Oreochromis niloticus: one gene and its partner. The protein of the gene in region 2 purifies or fractionates together with the protein of the main gene of each other region. This does not show direct contact. Links are inferred from orthologs where the notes say so. Each region holds a gene or a part of one and is shown on either strand. Other genes may lie near its edges.

Region 1 (10,409 bases), on a different chromosome or scaffold from region 2:
AACCCAAACTACCTGACCCCATGTGAAAAAGTAATTGTCCTCTAACCATAAGAGCTAGTCACAGCAAGAACTGCAATAAAGTGTTTGCGATAACTGGCAGTGAGTCTTTCACATCACTTTGGAGGAATTCTGGCCCACTCTTCTGTACAGAACTGTTTTAATTCACTGATACCTTTTGAGGGTTTTCAAGCATGAATAGTCTAAGGTCATACCAAAGCATCTCAATCTGATTTAAGTCCATTCAGAGGTGGACTTATCTCATTGTGCTACTGCATAACCAGGGATGGGAATTGATAAGAATTTAGTGATTCAGATTCCATTATCCATATCATTTACTGATTGATTCCTTATCGATTCAGTCCTTACTGAAAGTGCTGTGTGGTTAAATGTTTGTGCATGTTGGAGGCTTTTCCTGTCTTTGTTGTGTTGGGGGACATTTAAAACAAATAATGTAATACATATATTATGCCGAACACTTTTCCTAAAAAGGTAATGAGAAAGTAATTTGTTACATTACTTTCGTGTTTCTCAGTAAAATGACCTGAAACATACCGTTTCATAATTACCGTTTTCATCAATTCCCATCCCTATTTAAAACCCAAATGCTTTTGAGCTTCAAAGCATGAACTGATGGCAGCATATTCTTCAGGGGTTTTTTTGTTGTTGTTGCTTTGTTTTGTTTTTGTAGAGACCAGAATTCATAGTTCCATCGATTACATCAAGTCATCCAAGTCCTGAAGCAGCAAAGCAGCCCCAGAGCATCACATTACCACCACCATGTTTGGCTGTTGATATAATGTTCTTTTTATGAAATGCTGTATTAGTTCTACACCTAATGTAACAGAAACATTTTAGGCTCACATTTGTTTTTTGCCAAACACAAGACAAGTCTTTGGGTTTGTTTTGTTCAGCGGTGGCTTTTGCCAGGGAATTCTCCCATGGGTGCCATTTTTGCCCAGTCTCTTTCTTATCTCTGAATCATGAACTCTGACATTTATTGTAGGAAGCGAGGCCTAAAGTTGTTTAGATGTTCTGAGTTCTTTTGTGATCTCTTGGATGAGTTGTTGATGCGCTCTTGGGAGTAATTTTGGTAGGTCAGCCACTGCTGGGAATCTGCACTGCAGTTCTCTATATTTACGGATTATGACTCTTAACATGATTCACTGGAGTTCCAAAGCCTTAGAAATAGCTTTTTAACTCTTTCCATACTAACAGATGTCAATGTTTCTAATCTGTTTGAGTTTCTTTAACTCACAGCACGATGTGTTGCTTTTTGAGTTAATTTAGCCTACTTCACTTTGTTAGACAGGTTCTAGTTAAGTGATTTCCTGATTCAACATGTCTGGTAGGGTGTGTACTAGTGAAACTGAACGTACCCCCTGTGAATTAATCACAGTTCATTCATGATTTTGGATAGATCTTTTCCCATAATAAAAAACTCCATTTTGTTTTTACTTGGGTTATCTAACATTACAGTTAAAATCTAATATTAAAATTTGTTTGATCTGGCAGATTTCTAAACTTTGCTGCAGAATGACAACAGTAGGCACTCTCTTTCTACAGTAGTAACAATATCTGCAGGAGTCTCAAGAGAGGGGCATCATTTATTCTACTACATTTATTTTTGCCCTAAAACGCATTTATGATACTGTTGTGCATTTAGCTAGCAGTATATAAATTCATAATAAATTAAAATGTCAGATCTGTTGGCTCACTGGGACTTTTCTTTCTTTCTTTTTTTTTTTTTTTAAAAAACACCGAGCTGGGGATTCACTGATCTAATAACTGGATCAGATATCATTCCAGTCTTAACTCAAAAATCTGGAACGCACATCTGTGCCTGCTGTCTACAGAAGCATCTATAAAACTCAGCTGTATGTTTTGTACTGTGTTTACTTCTAGTGTGAAAAAGTACTTCAAAAAAAGTAATCTGCTGTGTTCATGGACTCAAATAAAATCCAAAGGGTTTAAGGATGACTTATTATTGATTATCTGAGACATTTTTGATCCTGAACTTAACAGATGTCATCATTAGTTAAAAACAACTTAAAAGTCCAAATTAAAGCTACTGATGGAGAATCAACCTCATATATTACCATAAGATGACAATGAATTAACAGAGTAATGATTAACGGTTTAGCACTCAGAATTTTTAAAGCAGCCATCTTGATTTTCTTGTTTTAATTTGAGACTAAATGACCTGCGAGAATCCTACAGCTGCATAAGATTTAAAAGGCTGGTGGGTTTTAAACTGCGGTTGCATCTCTCACAGAATCTAAACTGAACTTCCTGTTTTGGAACATAAATTCTTTTTCAGGATGTCACATTTTCCTCTTTCTGCGGCTCGCCTCATAGGACCATCTGCTTCATTGCCCCCTGCTCTTCCTCCCAGCCCTGAGCAGGCAGACAGTTGCATTCTTCATGCCGCATACTTTCTGCGATCTTATGATAACAAGATAAACCAAACAGTTTGCCCAGAGCAGCACCACCCACTCTTCTTTCTCACTTCCAGTCGAATCTCTCTCTCCCTCACACTGCACTCAAAACACCACACAGTCTTGTGAACCATCTCTACAGGGACATTTTATCACATTTTGTAAAAATAGTGAGGGGCCAACTGTGCTGTGTGTCCAGAGCATGGGTACAGCCCTGCTAGAGGATGTCCCTACCTTTTCCTCACTGTACCACGCAGGCTGTGCAGCACTGTTCCTGCTTCTCCGGCAGCGAGGAGTAATTCATCTGCCGGACGATCTCTGCAAACAGCTCATCCACCATCGTCTTGCTCTTGGCAGAAGTTTCGATAAAGGGGCAGCCCCACTCTTGAGCCAAAGCCCGTCCATCTGATCCGGCCACCTCACGCTCAGACTCCAGGTCGACTTTGTTACCAACCAGAATCAGCGGCACCTTCTCAAAGCGCTTCACTCGCACTATTTGGTCTCGCATTGGTCTGATGTCCTTAAAGATTGAGAAAAATAAGAGGTGTGAGACATTGAAATTTAAACAAAACAAAAAATGAATAATCAAGCAGATGCGTACTTTGGTTATTTCTCAATAGGCACAATGTCTTCATGATGCAAACATTTAATTACGATTTTTCTGGCTCAAAAATGGTCACATTGTTGACGTAAAGCTTTGTTTTACCCAGCAGACATTTGTGAATCTTCCTGATAGTTTTGGAAATATGCAAATATCTATTTTAGGGTTGCTAAACATTTCCTTTCGGGAAGGCCAAAACGTCTTTTCACATCCAGTTAAAGCACTGTTACTTTTATTTATTGGTACTTCAAAAGTAATTATCCATTAAATACCGAGTGCTAATATTGAAGGCTCTAAAATATCAGGACGTGGGATGACTATTTTCTTTAGTAGACCTGGTTCATAGTTATCTAAGCTTTCTTATGCACTGTTTGTTTCCTGTGTGGTGCCATCCTTCAACAAATGAGTGCTATATGGAGATATTGGGGATCCAAATGAGCCCTACCCTTCCCATTTTAATCTCGATAATGTGGCTTGTAGCATTCCCTGCATGAGAAGTATGAATCACAGCCTGATTAACCACATACGGTTGCAGTTTCCAGGTGTGTGTGGTGCATCTGGGGTACCTGGAAAGACTGCTGGTTGACCAGGCTGTAAACCAGGATGAAGCCCTGTCCGTTCTTGATGTACAGGTCTCTCATGGACGCGAACTGCTCCGTCCCCGCCGTGTCCAGGATCTCAAGCACGGAGGGCGACGAGTCCACCTCGATCTCCTTCCGATAGAAGTCCTCGATAGTCGGGTCATATTTCTCGATAAAAGTGCCGGTGACAAACTGCACGGTGAGCGCGGATTTCCCGACGCCGCCGCTGCCCAGCACGACAACTTTGTATTCTTTCATTGGGGCGGTCAAGGCGGGCTAACTTAGCAGCTATCGACTGCTATACTCGCTCCACAAACATTTATCAGGCCTTTACGAGAGCTAACGAGAGAAGCCACAAAAGTTAAACGATATACAATAACCCCCCTCATTCACATAAACACAGCTCAACCGCTCATACTTGGGTTTTTCTACGTTTTCCAGCTAGTCAGAGAGCAAAAGTTGATGTCCGGCAACTCCGGCGTTAGCTAGCCTTAAAGCTAGCTCGCGCCTGGCTGAAATCCCGCTGTGCCATCCTCGAGCTTTCAGCCTTTAGATCGATGTGATTCACCACAAGCGCTGGCTTTGATCAGTGAACTTGTTGTCTATCTACTGACAGCAGGTCACGGTGGTACACATTAGACCCCTATCCCTAAACCGCATGATAGTCCCCACAGCAGCCCGCCGGTGTCGCCGCAGCGTTGACTGCGTCCTTCCCTTAGCCTGGGCCTGGTTCTGGTTCCGGCCCAGCCCGGCGCCCTAGCAACCGGGCCCGTTATCGACGCAGACTCAGTGTTATAATCCCACCGTCCATTGGCTACAGTTTATTACTGGTCCGGTATCTATCTGACTGTATACAGGGTGGGTTCTGCTTCAGAAAGAAAGGCTTTTTTTCAACCATCTGATTTCCTGGAGCTAACAACCTGTTTCCGCTAACGAGAATCAGACTTCCGCTGCGACGGTTTTCATAATAAAAGCACAGAAAAGCGTTACAGAAAATTAGGATTTTTCGTTTCTAACATCCATCCATGTTTTCCGCTTGTCCAATTCTGGGTCGCGGGGACTGGATCATTTTCTTTCCTTGACATTTATTTATTTATTTAAATACAGTACTGTGTAAATGCCTTGAGCCACCCCTTATTCCTTTAAATTAGTTTTTTTTTTTTAAATGCGCCCCTAAATAGCTCTCCAGGCTTTTTGAAGAAAATCTTTTTTCTTTTTCACTCATTTTCAGTCCAGTCCTTGTACCTAAACATTTTCAGATGAAAATTTTTAAAAACTGTTTTACACTGACCTTTAAGTCATTCAAGCATAAAACAGTAACCTAACTCAAGTGATGAGCTAATGTTATGTCCACACATAATAAACAATTTGTTACCATTTCAATTTTGTTATCATTTAGTTGAATGCAGAATAATAATAATAATGATAATTGCTAACCTACATATTTAGCGATTTATCATACAGACCTATCATATTCACACAAGTTATCTAAATGAGCAGATTTTTGTCACAGGAAGTGGTTTCATTTACTTTCCCACAAAGTTACAAACTATCCTCCAGGGGATTAGCTTCACTGATGCATAGGTGTGTGTTAGTACACGATGTGAAAAACACCAAGACTGGACGTTGTGAGCACAGATTGGTTTAATGTGCAATCACAATGCTGCTGTTATATGAAGAAGAGTTTGTTTAAAGAAACAGCCACAAAATGAATCAGCTGCAGGTCCATCTTGACCATTGCTCCTTGTTACTGAGGATGTCACACAGTCTAAATTCAGACGTTGCAGTCTTACATCAGCAGCATAGGAAAGCTGGTCATCCTCACTTCCTCTGAGAGCAGTTTCGATTCCTGTTTTTATATTTATATTAGGGCGACATTCTCTGAATAGCTTTAAGTTTTATTATAGTGCTTTTTACTGCAATAGATTAAGTTAGTGGTCTGCTAATTCAGATTAATTCTGCATACTGAAGACAGTGACTCTCTACAATGCAGTTAATTTCAAAACTGCATCATTCATCACACTTTGCACTCTGTTATCTAAGAAACTTTAATTTCATCTGGTTTTTGCCATACTGTCTTTAGTAAGCCACTTTGCATTTCTTATTGTAATGCATAGTTATATTACCTTATTATATTTGAGTTCATTTATTTTTTAGATAATTAAGATAATTGTTTGATCCTGTTTTATTTAATTTTATTGAGCTATAGACTATTTTATTGATTTAAACTATATGTTGTTGGGGAGATCATAAGGTATACCTTTAAACTCCTCAATCAACACAAATATTTAATCAGCCAATAACATGGCAGCAACTCAGTGTATTGACATGTTGAGGTTCAAACTGAGCATCTAAATAGGGAAGAATTGTGATTTAAGGGACTTTGAAAATGGCATGAATGGGCCGGTCTGAGTATTTCAGAAACTGTGGATCTACTGGGATTTTCCCACACAATCACAGGGTTTACAGAGCATGGTTTTCTGAGGGAAAATACCTTGTCGATACCTGAGGTCAGAGGAGAATGGCGAGACTACTTCAAGCTGATAAGAGTCAACAGTAATTCGAATAACCACAAGTTACAACCAAGGAAGAAGAGCATCTATGAACCCAGATGGGCTACAGCAGCAGAAGTCCACATCAGGTGCCAGTATTGTCAGCTAAGAACAGGAAACTGAGGCCAGGATTTGAGGCTACAACATTCCTGAGGAATGTTTCCAGTTCCCAGTACTGGCAAGGTGTACCTAACAAAATGTCCAGTGTGTCTATACCCTATGCTTGAATAAATTTAACCCCATAATATTTTCATCTCCATCCCAATGACCTGATTTCTCTTTTGTGAAAGGTTAACAGTTCTTTCCTGGGTGCCAAAACACTTTATATACAGATAACCCCGTGAGATGCATGTGTGTTATTGTAGTCTTAATTATTAACAGTTGTTGCATAAAGGGGTCCTTTGAGGCTATATATGCACATTTAGGGGCATTACCAGATGTTCAGGGTGTAAGTTGTGGTTGATATACTTCTTTTGCTGTATGTGTATGTCTGCAATGCAGGAGACAAAAAGAAAAAACACACAAGAGGATCACAATGAAGTGTTTTATTTAGGTCAAACAGAAATTGCAGAACTCATCATAGGCACAGTAACTTACTCATAATTAGCTATACACTGCAAAATAAATTGGCATGTAGCACAGCAGCACATACAAGCACCACAAGCAGAAAACAGAGTGAAACAAAGAAACAGCAGTCACGTTCAAGTCTGCCCAAGAGTGTCAGAGTTTTTTATGGCTTAGTCCTGAACAGTCTTTGGCCCTCATCATCTTTCACGGGGTGTCGTTCAGTCGGCGATTGTACCCAATTTAAAAAATAAGTTGTGGACTCAACAGAGGATGTAATTAAATTGATATGATTGGCACACGCTCAGTTCACGTGGCGGTTTTAGTCAGTGAGATGTAGAACCTAAAAGTCCAGTTTGCACATTAAAGGCACAATCACAACTAAAATGAATCGTAACAATACAGTGATTTAAAATCCACAGCATGTACTTAAACTGGGACAGCAATGATGAGGGGAGCTGGTGAGTCAGTAGAGAAGCTTTGGTGAGTTGTGGGTACACGTCGTTCAGAGACCCGTCCCTGCTCACAAACTCTTTGAAGTCAATATTCAACAGTCAGAGGGCTGTGAACCGATTCTCCAGGATGACTCAGTCAGTCCAACACTAGGAGAAGTGCCATGGCAACAAAATCGCTGGCTTTGGGGGCAAATAAAGAGCATCACATGTTCAAATCAGCAGAACCAGAGTCATGTGAGGATGCTGCTGCTGCTGGGAGAGGAAAATATTGGAAAAGCCGTTTGTTTGCAATTTAGTCTAAAATCCTGAGGAGAATTCAGATTTATTGTTGTTTTGGTTAATGACAAGAAACAGGAGAGTTTAAAAAAAAATTACAAAATGACAGAGATGAAGGAGAATTTAAATCTCTGTTCCTCTGTGGTCAGATTTAATATCGGCTCCTATTTTGTTTTTCAGCCTGCAGATGGAGCTACTCTGTGCTTTATTTCGGTGCTTTACTGGAGAGAGGAATGTGTCTGCATGTCATCTGCTCAGATTAGGTTCTTACATATGATCCACCTCTCCTGTTTGATGTCAGGGTCGCATATTATTAAACCACAGAGGATCAATCAACTGAACTGAACTGAAAAAAAAGAGCTTTTTAAAGCAAATCATTTGTAGTTTACAGCTAGGCAGTGCCATGCTTAGCAAAGAACAGGGCTCTAGCAACAAACAAAAGGGCAGATGTAAGAAAACAATAGACATATCGTTAACAATATATTGATTAGATTTTTTTTAATTGACTCTTTTATCTGTATTTATTCAAAATAAATTTTGAGTATTCTGACATAGTTATGTACATAAGTGCAAACAAGGTGAACATCACACATTCGTATACACCTCAGTGAGGATCGACATCACCCAGCACAGCTGGGCAGTAAGAGACCTCGAGACCACCTTCTTGGCCAAAAGTTGAGCCAGATCTCTCAGTCTGCAGGAGGCAAGCGGCAAAAACTGCTCGCCTCCACAGAAAAAGATCTTCCAGTTAGTCCAAGGGCCTCTTTACCTCCCTGACAGATGTTTGCTCTAAAAGCCAGAGTTCATTCCTATTTCTCAAAAACACCATGTACAAGAAGAAAAAAACCTAAATATAAAATGAACGTCAAATAAACAAAACAAAATAAACGCCTGACCTCCCCTAAGGACCTTTGGATATTACAAGGATTTAAGTTGTTTCAATCACGTTGCAACAAGACAAACTAATAATTAGACATTCCCTTTTCGGATAAGTTAGTGCTGTATGTCATCTCAATTATTGTGGAAAAAAAATCACTATTAGGATAATAAAAAGGTAGCCATGTTGTCATTTTGTTGCCATAGCAACAGCAACTATTACCATTAACAATGACTCCATCATTGTGTACAAACGATTTTCATATCATAATGTTTTTCATATTGGTCTACACAAACTATTAACTACATATAAATGATTTTTTTGTTATCATTATTGTTATTATTATTTTCATGCCGAGTTTTTTTTATGTCAGAAAAAAAAATCTTACATTTAATACATTTTCATACACAGCTGTCACATATGATCAAGGATTAAGGCCCTTTGTTTGTATTCTCAGGACTGAGTTAACTGTGTCCACATGCTGAAGGATCTGATCACAGGACAGCGAAGATCAGAGCTCTGCACACGTTGAACAGTTATGATTCAGGACCGTGTGGAAAAAAAAATTACAACCAGGCCCAAAGTTAATCAAGTACAAGAGAATGAATGAGGGAACAAAATTAAGAGGTAAAAATGTTTGTTTTTTTTTCTCATGGTGCTCCACAATCCTCAAATTAATACACTCTTGAGCCTTAATAGATACATTTAAATGTATTTAAAAACCTCAAATGCCCTCGAGAGGCACAGTTTATTAATCAAGTATTCTGTTTTTCCAGCTGGACGGTTGTCAGTGAAGGCATACTGATGTTAGGGGTAGGATCACTTAAGGAGGGGATTCTCTTGGCTGGACGAAGCTAGTCTTTAGAAAAAGGGACCTGTCTGGACATTCTGATCATCAGGTTCATAGAGACAGCTATGAGCCTACATACTGTTTGATCCACCATGCAGATAGAAAGTCAGCTATACTTTAAAAATACTTTATTCAAGTATTTTGGGAGATACACTTATTCACAAGATTTTATATCACTCTTATGTCTGTATAGTAAATATGAAGCTTAAACCAGCTGTATGGGGCACTAGCCTGTTTCCATACAAAGTGGAGCTACACAGATAAATTATCTGGTATTAGGTTATTACAAATAAGGTGTCCTCTAAAAGTATGTAAACTGCAGATTGAAATAGATATTTTAAACCTCTGTTTTAGCATTTTAGGATGAAAGCATTGCATGAGATAAAATACAGACTGGCTTTAGCTTTTATTATGTGCTATTTAATACACAAACAGCACATAAATAGATAGTTATGCATCTTGATATTTGTAGACCAGTTCAGTAGCGTTTACTGTAGGCTAACTTTTCGCTGTTCAGCAAACATGCTTTCATACGGCTTCTGATGTAGGGATTTGTTCTCTGCTCGGTCTGTTTGACCTCAGTGCAGCCTCTGATACTGTCGACCATGATACTTTCCTTAGTAGAGCTATGCTTTCCATTTGACTGACTTTCTTCTTATTTATCTGCAAGGCTCAGATAAACGCAAGGCTCAATCCTGGGCCAATTATTATTTTCTTTCTGCTTTCTTACTGTAGCTGGCATCATTCAGGGTTTTACAGAAGTTTCTTGTTGTTTCTATGCAGATGACATTTACTTATACGTCTATAATTTTCTATTATATTTTATCGTGATTTTTCCCAGTTTTTATTTATTTTAGACTATTTTTTTGCCAAGCACTTTATAACTTATTTTCTGTGACAAGTGCTTTTATAAATAAACTTTACTTACTTACTTATATTCTATATAAGAGCTAAAGCCACCTACTGTTTTGTCTCATTGTTGTGCTTTAATATCAACTTCAGATGCATAAATTATCAATAATATCTGTTAACGTACTTATAGAGGGCACTCTATTCTTGTTTAAGTTGGCTTAAGTTATTACAAGCATTACACAGTTTATCCAAAAGCTAACTTTTAGTTATCTAAAAGGTGTAAACACCTTCCATACAAGATCACACATTTAATCTTTAAAATGGACATAAACTCCGTAGTTTTGTAGATGTTTTCCTCCTGTAGTT
Region 2 (10,226 bases):
CTCACTGATAATGTCTCTCTTTATTGACACTTAACAGTTAACAAAGAACAGAGAAAAATGTTCATTCTGTAAGACGAGAAGAGTGCACAAAGTGAACGTGAAGCTGTCTGAAAAGCCATTTCATTGGTTCAGAACCATCTGACGGTAAGACTGGAAATATTTCATGTTGCACACACTGTGGAGGCAAATCTAACACAGCTGCACTGAGCAACATTCATTTAAATAAATAGTGTAACTAGGATCCTGGATAAGACATTAAACATACCAATGATAGTGTTTAAGCTCTGGGTGGTTCCAGTCACAAAGAGAACATTTTCTCTTTCCATAAAGCCCGCCAAAATAAGAGTCTGTGTAGGGTTTATTTTAACGCACTGAAAAAGCTGTCCTATGACGCATCTCCACTTCTGAAGCCTACTAACAAGTGTTGCTCTTCACATGCTCTTATCAAATACATAATAAGCTAAAGACAGGAAATTGAAAAAGCTCTAGCTTTATGTGTAACAACATACTAAAACAGCAAATCTAACTTTTACCTTTTCTCCCTCAGCCAAATTCATCTGACTCATCGCTTCCATTCTTCACTCTCAAGGTCAAAGCTGATAAGCTATGAATATTCCCAGTCATTCCAGTAACAAACATGATAATAAAGCACGATAGGACAGAATAGAAGGAACTTCTGGCCAAAGAAACTCATAACACTAATAGCTTCTTGGCTAGAGGACAAGGTGGAAGGTGATAACATCAGGAAGATGAAACATTTTAACTGTGAGCAAACTTTCACATTTTCCCCCTCAAACTGACATAGTGAGTAAGTTGAGAAGTTGTTGTTGCATGTTGTTGAATGTTTTTGCATGATTTCCAGCCTTCTGCAAAGATGATGACACTTCAAAGCATCTTTTTAAGCCCCCTCCTTTCGTTGCAGTGACACGAGAACACCGACTCGATGAGTAGCAGGAGATTAAAACAGAGAGGTTCAGAGGAAGTCATGTCCAAACTGTGAGACTCTGTGCACCTGAAATCCAGCCGTGCCATGAGCCTCTGTTTGTGCGGGTGGAAAAAGTGTCTGTGTGATGCATCAGAGGGTTAGCTGAGGAGGTCAGGCTGCAGGCCAATACGCTGAAGGACGTCCTCGGGCATGCACAGCACTGGATTCACCGGTTTGATCTGTTCGTCTCCAAGCAGGGAGAGACCTGCAACCCCGAACAGGGTGTGGAAAGGATCCACCTGCAAAGGAGGATTAACAAGAATCAATAAGACTGATTATAAAGAAAATACTACAAAAGTGGGCCACAGAAGTGGACCAAAACGCTTCGCACTCAGTGTCTTTGAAACTGCCTGCTTTACCTCACATGCAAAGACTTTTTTTTTCAGTCCAAAACATAAATATTCAAATTTAGATTCTTAAAATTCTTCTCACCATATCTCCTGGTCTATCAGCAAAACCTCCCGTCTCCTCGTCTTGACAGGCCAAAATAAACTTTCGCAGCTTGTCTTTGTCAATCCAGCGGATCCTGCCGATGATTTTCAGCGAGGCCAAAACCCACCACGAGTAGCACACATCTGGAAGCTGAATGATACCGAAAGTAAACCACAGCTGTTGCTCATATTTTCTGCCATATCCCATTTCAGAATATGGAGGCAGCAGTCTTAGCAGAGACACTGAGACTTCCCTCTCCCCACTCCACCTCCTTTAGTTCCACTTTTCTTAGTAAGATATGTCTGAAACACCTCACCTAGGAGGCGTCCAGTCAGTCAGCCCAGTCAGTCTTAGTCAGATACTAGTTGAGGTCTGACAACCTCAACTGCCTCCTTTCGATGTGGAGGAGGAGTGGCTCTACTTTGAGGCCCAAAGAAGAGGAAGAACCCAGCCACCCTTTGGTGGAAGCTGATCTCCTCCTTTCAGACTCAATAATATTTTATTTAAGCTTAAAAACTGTATTTATTACCAGGTAATCCAATCCAATAAATCATCAGCTTGTTCCATCTACATTATTGCTTCTACAGCTCAAACTCTTCAACTGCAAAAGAGTCTGAATTTCAAACCATAAAACCCAGATACTTTCATTAAATAACTCAATACTTCACAGTGTTTGGCACAAACCTTCTCAGGTCGACCATTCAGGCCTCCAGACGGCAGCTGTCTCTCACACAGCCACCACCCCAGCAGGTCAGCGTTCAACTGGTGTAACTGGCCAGTGAGCGACAGGAAGCCAGTGCAGCAGTAAATCTGACAGACAGGAAGGAAAACGCCGGAAATTGATTTTAATACCAACTGATCCTAAAGTGCCAAATTTGCCATATCCAGGTTGAAAACGTCATCCATCCACTGCAGTTGTCTTGGCCTCTTCTACAAGTCAGCTTCATTCAACAAGACTGGTGTGCAGGATCAAATCAGGCAGGAAGTGTCAACTTAACATATCATTCCTTTATTTTATTTTAGGTTGAAACTGAAAAGAGTTTTCCTGCTTTTGTTCAAAAAGATTGATTTACTAACTGTCTGACAACAATTCATTAAAAAAATGAAATTGTTATGATTATTGAATCTATTAACAAATAATTGCAATTTGGCTCAATTCTATTTTCTATCAAATAGAAACAAAACACTTCCGAGAGTCTCCAAACTTTTCTGTGGGAGTAAATATCAGTATATCGGTGAACTCACCTGACCAGCATGAGACTCAGAACCAGGTCTGCATCCAAAGCCTCCATCAAAGTTCATACATGACAAAACAAACTCTACGGCTTTGTCAACATTGATCGTATCCATCTTGCCCTGGGAAACAAAAACCATCATCTTAAAATGAATTATAATGAGCTGAAAGTAACACAGTTTATTAAAACATGCTTGTTAAGACTTAAGAATGAAAGAGCTGAGCTGTTGAGTCAACTGATGAACTTTGTGATATTGTGTAACTTTATTATTTATTTAGCCTCATTTTATCGACACAAATGAAGTCTGATGCTCCCACATAACACGGCCGAGTAATGGACTTTCTAAAACAGGTTCAACTAAAAAAAGTTTTAAGTTAAATAATAAATCATGTTAATAATAATATACATGGAAAGACTAACATACGTACCAGTAATGCGAGTGTAGCAACTGCACAGAAGGAAAACCGCGTGTCTATTTCTCCTGCAAAGACAAAAAGATACACAAGTTACACTATTTTAACATGAAAACGGTACTTTATTGCATTTTTGCTGCAAGCCTTAAGTGAAAGTTGCATGCAAAGATTTTATAAAGATTTTATAATTCAGTAATACAATTTATAATTTTTTTTTTTTAACCGATCTATCATGACAGATTTAAATCTGTTTGTCAAGACTGTAGCAGTCAAGATCACGTGAATAGCTTCAAACTAGCTGTAACTAGTTTCATATTTGAAAGATAAAAGACATGAAAAGTGTGGGCTGATTATGTCAATTGTGGGATGTGAGAGTAAAACTCACTCACCCCACTTGTCCCCCGCAAAAGAGCCATCTTCCTGCTGCAGCCCTTTGACATATTCCACAACTTTGTCCACATCAATCGCATCTATGCTGTCATACAAGCACAAGATCTGAGGAAGAGAGTTCACAAAATACTAATAAACAAGAGAACATAAAATACACCATGTGCAGACCATTCAAGGTCATTCAAAAACCAGACACTATGGCACACAATTTGAGATGATTATTTGAGCTAAATATAAGCAGCACTATGCAGAAAAATAAATAAACATCTAGAGGACACTAGAACTGCTATAAAATTTTGCTAAAGAGGGGCCAATTCAGAAATATTAAAGCACATATAAATATTTAAAAGTTCAGTGTATCATCTAGAATTAAAGCCATAAAGCTGTAGAGAATAAGAGCGTAATCTGCTACCTGGACGGCACTGAGAGTGTAGAGCAGGTGGGGGTCATGTCCAATGCTGGCGCTGATGCCTCCACACTCGTGCTGACAGGCTTTGATGAAGTCTATGATCTCCTGCTGGTTCATTCTGGGTAGCTGGCCCATCAGGTCCATCACAGTCAGCCCCCAATAGATGCCGCTCATCCTCAAGTACTCAGACAGCGTGTACTCCTGACAGACCACCAAAGGTCGGCAGCGTTAGTTCAAAAACGTTGGCTGCTTTTTAGTGATTGCCCCTCTAAACTCCAAAGCCTACCACAGAAGCTCAACTGGATTGTTATCTGGAGGGTTTTGAAGACCACCCATTCAGCGACCCCTTAGAATTTGAGTCCCACACTTTCTCATCCCATTCACCTCATTCCCTTTGGGTAGGATCACTGTCATCACTGGAGTGGCGGGATGACAACGATCACCCTTTTCTTGCAAGTGGCCAAGCCCAGAGTAGAAACACAGATATCAAGGCTCTGAGGAGGCATGTACTCACATAGTCGTCCTTTTTGGAGCCGTATGCAGCGATGTAGTCTGCGTGTTTCTCCAGCAGCAGCGTGCTGGGAGCGTCGGGCTTTATGATCACATCTTTCACCTGGGTCCCCTGAAATTCAACACACACCAACAACACGTCAGACAGCCCTAAAACTCAATAACCTGAAAAAATCTAACTTGACTTCTTCCTCTTCATAATCTAGCGCTGAGTTAACCCCTGTTTAGCAGATAAATGGCTGACTGTTAACATGATTCACGGCTTGTTGACAGGCTGCTACATGCTAACATCTTAGCCACTCTGCTAGCTGCTTTCACTGATTAGCTCGATTGTGTGAGACTAAGTTTGGATAGACTAGAGGAAAGAGCACATTTAAATAATCTTTTATTGTAATGTTATCCTAAACTACACTCCTTATCACACTAGAAACAGGTCGCTGGTTACCATTCTGACATGATCCGGCGTTTTCCTTCTTCCTCTTCAACAACAATTCGGGCTGTTGGTTTGGAGCGCGTTATTGCCACCTATTGGTTTGGAGGGAGAACCGCAGCCTAAATTCTCATATTTGAAGTGATATTTGTTACTCAAATATATTTAAGCACAAATGTTCAGGTATCTTACTCAAGTCATTTATTTTTCAGTGTTGGGGGAAAATTTCCCACTGCAATTATTTTTCTATAACCATCATGTGCAACTTCAAGCAAGGCACCACTGAAAACACTGTGACCACCTACATCACTGTGTGGTTTAGAAACTCCACCACCTGAATCACATAGTAAATGCAGCAGAAAAGACCACTGGTTGCTTCATTGCCCTCCCTCCTGGACAACTGTAACACCTGCCTAGCAGTCAGCATTGTGGTGACTTCCCCTATCAGACTGAGACACAGCTTCATCCACCAGGCTGTCAAAATATTGAACTCCTTCCTTCCTCTACTCACTTCCCACTCTGCCCCCCCAGAAGACTGGATTCTAACCAACCCACACACATATACATGAGCAATGTGTCTTACACCTAGCCTTAACATAAAGGACATTAGTGCTGCTGTTGTCTTGAAGACTATATTGCTGTTATCTACACATATTACTTCAATTACAGAACTGAAAATGAAGCAGACTTTGACTTTTTAACGTTAAAGAAGTTGTTTTAAAAGTCCTTAAGTATAATGAATATTTGACAGATTCCTAACAAGTGAAGCTTGCAATAAAAAGAAAATTAAAAAAGACATGCTTGTGAATGCTCTGTCATTAGGTAATGAGCTTCATCTCAGCATGTGGAGAACTCAGGAGAAATGAAATTTAGAAAAGACTCAAACTGCTTGTTGATTTAGCAAATGGGAGAAAGGAGAAGAAGAAAAAAAAGATGTTTAGACTGAATGAAATAATTTATTCAGTGACAATTTATGGACACAATTCTCCATGATGTGACAATGGTCTATCTTCATCTCATCCACATGTGCCTTGTCTGCACAGGTAAGACGTAAAGCTGACGCTTTAAACATTGGATATTCATTTTAAATGTAGAAGAGACAGCAGCTAAATGTAAAATCAAACTGTTTTCAGACAGCATGCAAATTTACAAACATCAGTATGTTTACACATTCTGGTAAGAAATTCATTTCTACATTTAAAACCTTTTGTTTTAAAAAAACAAAAACAAAAGCAAAACACAAACAAACAAAGATCAGTATGAGAGCCAGAACTGAGAGAAAAGGCTTGGAGTAAGGCATGAAGAAATTAATGACCATTTATCAAACTTTTGATGCAAAGAAGAGTGAATGTGATCAAACACCAATCACACTGTTAAAGTACTGCAGCAACAGTGTAAGGCTGAATGTTAGTCCAATCCTAGTCCCTTTTTTCTAACTTTAGTCCCAACAGTTCAGGTTCATCAGCAGAAGCTTCACAGCATAACAGGCAATTGGCAGATCACACCGTATTAATGCTACACAGTATGCCCCAGCCCCCATCATTAACAGAAACTGTTCTGTGAACAGGAGATAGCGGTGTCATATTCTGTGACTTGATGGATTGGTGTAACTTGTGGCATCGTGAATTCTGAGGCCAAAGGAGGCTGATGGGTCTTGTTGATCTGGATCAGTCTTGAAAACCGCAGTAGGATGAAGTGACATTAAGGCAAAATTTTGATCGTTATCCTGAGTTCAAGTGACCAAAAGGAACAGAAACAAGTACATTATGTATGCCAAACATGAAAAGTAAGTTTAAATGAGGATGAGCAGACTTCATTTCTTGGCTCTTCCCAGGTGTTCTCGGGCAATAATGAGCCTTTGGATCTGAGCTGTGCCCTCGTAGATCTACAAAAAAAAAAAAAATCAGATTAATTAAAGAAGATGAAGCAGAGATGGTGCAGGCAGTGCATAGTTGCACATTATTGTCACCCACCTGGTAGATCTTTGCATCCCTCATGAGCTTCTCTACAGGGTACTCGCTATTGAAGCCGTTGCCTCCAAATACCTGAACAGCATCAGAGGCCACCTGATTGGCGATGTCCCCTGCAAAGGCCTTGGCGATGGAAGCGTAGTAGGTGTTTCTGCGGCCTTGGTCCACCTCCCAGGCAGCACGCTGGTACGCCATCCTGGCCAGCTCTACTTTCATCACCATCTCAGCCAGCAGGAAGGACACAGCTTGGTGCTGCGAAACAGGAAACAGAAGCACGTTGATCTTTTCTTCATCTGAGTTTAAAACAAAAGCAGTCCAACTAAGGATACCCAGATTTAAAGGACAAACAAAATGCTTGAACACACCTCAGCAATAACTTTGCCAAAGGTCTTCCTCTCCAGAGCGTAACTGGTGGCTTCGTCGAGTGCCCTCTGTGCCAGGCCGGTAGCTCCTGCTGCCACCTGCATTGCAGCAAAAACATAAACAACCACGCTCAGACAAATCTTCAGCTACAAGTTTAAACTTTTGTCCTTAAATCTGGTAATGTTTGATCCACTGTAGTTCTTGTTTAGTTTCCTGGTGCTGTTTCACTACATTTCAAAGTTCCTGTTGTGACAGAAGCAGCTCATAAACTGTTTGTGAAACAAAGCCAGGGTTTTTTTGGCTTTTGCCTATATAGGATAGAGACAGTGGACTGACAGGAAAGCAGGGAGAGAGGGGAAAACAGGCCGCAAAGGGCAGGAGGTCAGACTTCAATTCAATTCAATTCAATTTTATTTATATAGTGCCAAATCACAACAGAAGTCGCCTCAAGGCCCGGACCACTGCTCTTCTGGCCATGCGGCATGCAGTCACATGGTCAACCACTGAGCCAAACTGGCACCCAATCATCTCCATTTCAATCATGGTTCATATTTTTTAAGCACACCTTTGAATTAGTCTCGTGTGACGAGCCTTTAGCATGCGAGTGAGTGGAAAAAAAAAAATTTAAGAGCCCACACTAGTGCATCTTTGTACTGCTGAGTCACACTCAAACTACCAGCTCAGAGACAACTTTGATCAATATTAGTGAAAATAATAAATAAGATATTCTCCTTAACTGTAAGTGTTAATTCTCCAGTAGCACAAATATATATCCCTTAAACTCTAGCAAGTTAAATTGGGAGATTCAAATGAGAGGAAAAAAAAAAAAAATCCACTGCTTAACACCTTTAAAGACCAATAACTTCAGTTTTTTGCCCTGCAATTTCTAATCCTTTTATTTGCAGATATAATTTGATGCCAAAAGATGAATCACGTCTTTACTTCTGTACACAACACCATCTTTGGATTGCAAATCTACTTGTAAAGATGAAGCTATGCACAGTCGTTACAGATGTTAGGTTTTGTCACAGCTGGAAAACTTACTGGTGGCCTGGTGTTGTCAAAGGCACCCATGGCAATTTTGAATCCAGATCCCTCTCCGATCAGGACATTCTCCTTCGGTATTCTCACATCCTCAAAGGTAATGCCCCTCGTGTCAGAACACCTCTGGCCCATGTTCATTTCCTACAGGCACAAAAACAAAATAAAATTTTTAAATGGGATGCATTTACAAACTGAACATTTTTCCTCCTTTTATTACATATAATTTTTAACAAACAATGCTATCATTTGCACTACTCAGTAAAGTAATTATCTGACATTATGTGTCTAATGTTTATAGAACAGAGCATCAAACTTCTGCAACATTTAAAATATGATTTGCTCACTGAAGAATGTGATTAATGTTTTGAAAGACTCTTTTTCAGCTTACCTTCCTTCCTATTTGAACTCCTGGAGTGTCTGCATCCACAATGAAGCCAGTAAAAGCCTTGCTGGCTGGACATTTGGGATCTGAGTTAGTGCGAGCAAGCAGGAAGTACCTAAAAGTATTAGAGACTAAATTACCAGACAGAAGTTGCTGTAGTAATCAGAGAGAAAAGAGAGAAGAGCAGCACAAATTTCAGCATTCAGAGTGGCCTTGAGGATGAATGCCCTTTAAAACTGATCACTACAACTTTAACGAATGCAATACATCAGCAGCGACTGTGAGCACACACCAGTTAGCTTTCCCTCCGTTGGTGATCCACATCTTCTGCCCATTAACAACATACTCGTCGCCCATTTTCACAGCTCGTGTTTTGATGCCGGCCACATCAGATCCTGCCCCGGGCTCAGTGACACAGTACGCCTGCAGAAAACCACACAGGAGTTAAACTGAAAACAGCAGCACCGTCTTTCATTGCATGTTTGCTGCTTTCAGCACACAGTAGTAAAACACAGAGTTTATGGTCTTTGTTACAAAATAAATAAAGCATGACGGTATAACAAGAAGCACTCTGAACTGCCTTGTTATTCAAAGTCTCCTACACAAACAAACTTTCCTTCATTTGTTACCATTTATTCTATAAAGGGTATTAAAAAACAAACAAACTTGAAAGTTAAATCCTCAGTCATTGTGCTTGTCGTTGTTGATAGGTTGATTATTGATGTCACCTGCGCCCACCATATGTTGAGGTGGTGCTTTAAAAAGAGTCACAGCCAAAGGTCGTAGAAACTGAAGCCGCAGGCTTAAATGTGTTCGTTTCTGCTACCATATATTAAAGAGATTTGTGATGTGACTGTCTGTCAGTGTCCTTCAAAGTGTTAGGTGGGTCATAGCAACTTAAAGATTACAACAGTTCCTATAAAGAAGAACTTTCTGTGATAAAGCTCAAGAAGCGTCTACAGGAGATTCTGGATTATACGCATGGAACATCAAACTGGCGATCCCAGTGGATGGAAAGGATGCACAGAGAGCACGAAAAGGTTGGCAACCAGTCATCAGACGGGCTCTCCACTGAAGTAGTGATCCACTTTTTAGCATCACCGAGCAGCTGAACTGTTTGCACCAAAAAAAGTCATCTACAAAAAAGGTCCACAACAGAGCAGCAGGAGCTACAGATGGGCACGGAAAGAGGACTTGAGGACATCCAGCATAAATCAACTCATCCAAACAGACAGTTAAGTAATCAGGAATTGTCTTTTTTCCCTTCTTTTTAAACCATCTTGAAAAAACATAAAATATAAAAAAATAAAATAAATGTGTAAATGTAAAGACTCTGGACACCACTCCCTCTGTACAAACCATTTACCAAAGTGAGGAACAAACAATTAGTGGATTACAATTAAGAAATTCAAATCTAGGAAATTCTTTATTTGCACCAGGATCTAATGACTCTGTACCAACTTTGTTGTTTAGTTGAAGAAGTTAGGTCCTTTTTGTTTTTCCCCAGAGCAACAAAATATTCTTTCTGAACTTCTTGCTGCATGAAAGGCTCTAAAAGATCTATCAATGATGATTTGTCATTTGCTAATGTTGATAAAGGTGCTCCAGTAGTACTGTTAGATGAGGTCATGAGTCCACTGAATATTACAGATTTCCACTGTAA

The links.
Region 1: the proteins of rabggtb (region 2) and rap2c purify together in Homo sapiens (co-immunoprecipitation; 3 studies listed by BioGRID and IntAct, counting the BioPlex papers as one, with this or other methods). This does not show direct contact. The link is inferred for Oreochromis niloticus from reciprocal best matches to the Homo sapiens genes RABGGTB and RAP2C.

What each region holds. Positions count from the first base shown.
Region 1 is NC_031966.2:20,429,765-20,440,173, forward strand, and holds the start of rap2c (ras-related protein Rap-2c), read right to left. Parts: upstream 4,572-10,409; 5' UTR 3,876-4,571; coding exon 3,603-3,875; intron 2,956-3,602; coding exon 2,677-2,955; 3' UTR 2,670-2,676; intron 1-2,669. UniProt on the Homo sapiens protein: Small GTP-binding protein which cycles between a GDP-bound inactive and a GTP-bound active form. May play a role in cytoskeletal rearrangements and regulate cell spreading through activation of the effector TNIK.
Region 2 is NC_031982.2:25,764,378-25,774,603, forward strand, and holds rabggtb (geranylgeranyl transferase type-2 subunit beta), read right to left. Parts: upstream 4,932-10,226; 5' UTR 4,823-4,931; coding exon 4,820-4,822; intron 4,487-4,819; coding exon 4,379-4,486; intron 4,066-4,378; coding exon 3,868-4,065; intron 3,561-3,867; coding exon 3,455-3,560; intron 3,134-3,454; coding exon 3,081-3,133; intron 2,774-3,080; coding exon 2,663-2,773; intron 2,228-2,662; coding exon 2,102-2,227; intron 1,568-2,101; coding exon 1,418-1,567; intron 1,225-1,417; coding exon 1,084-1,224; 3' UTR 2-1,083; downstream 1-1. Other genes in the region: acadm (medium-chain specific acyl-CoA dehydrogenase, mitochondrial), read right to left, coding at 6,618-6,689, 6,778-7,026, 7,140-7,235, 8,182-8,322, 8,570-8,678, 8,856-8,986. UniProt on the Homo sapiens protein: Catalyzes the transfer of a geranylgeranyl moiety from geranylgeranyl diphosphate to both cysteines of Rab proteins with the C-terminal sequence -XXCC, -XCXC and -CCXX, such as RAB1A, RAB3A, RAB5A and RAB7A.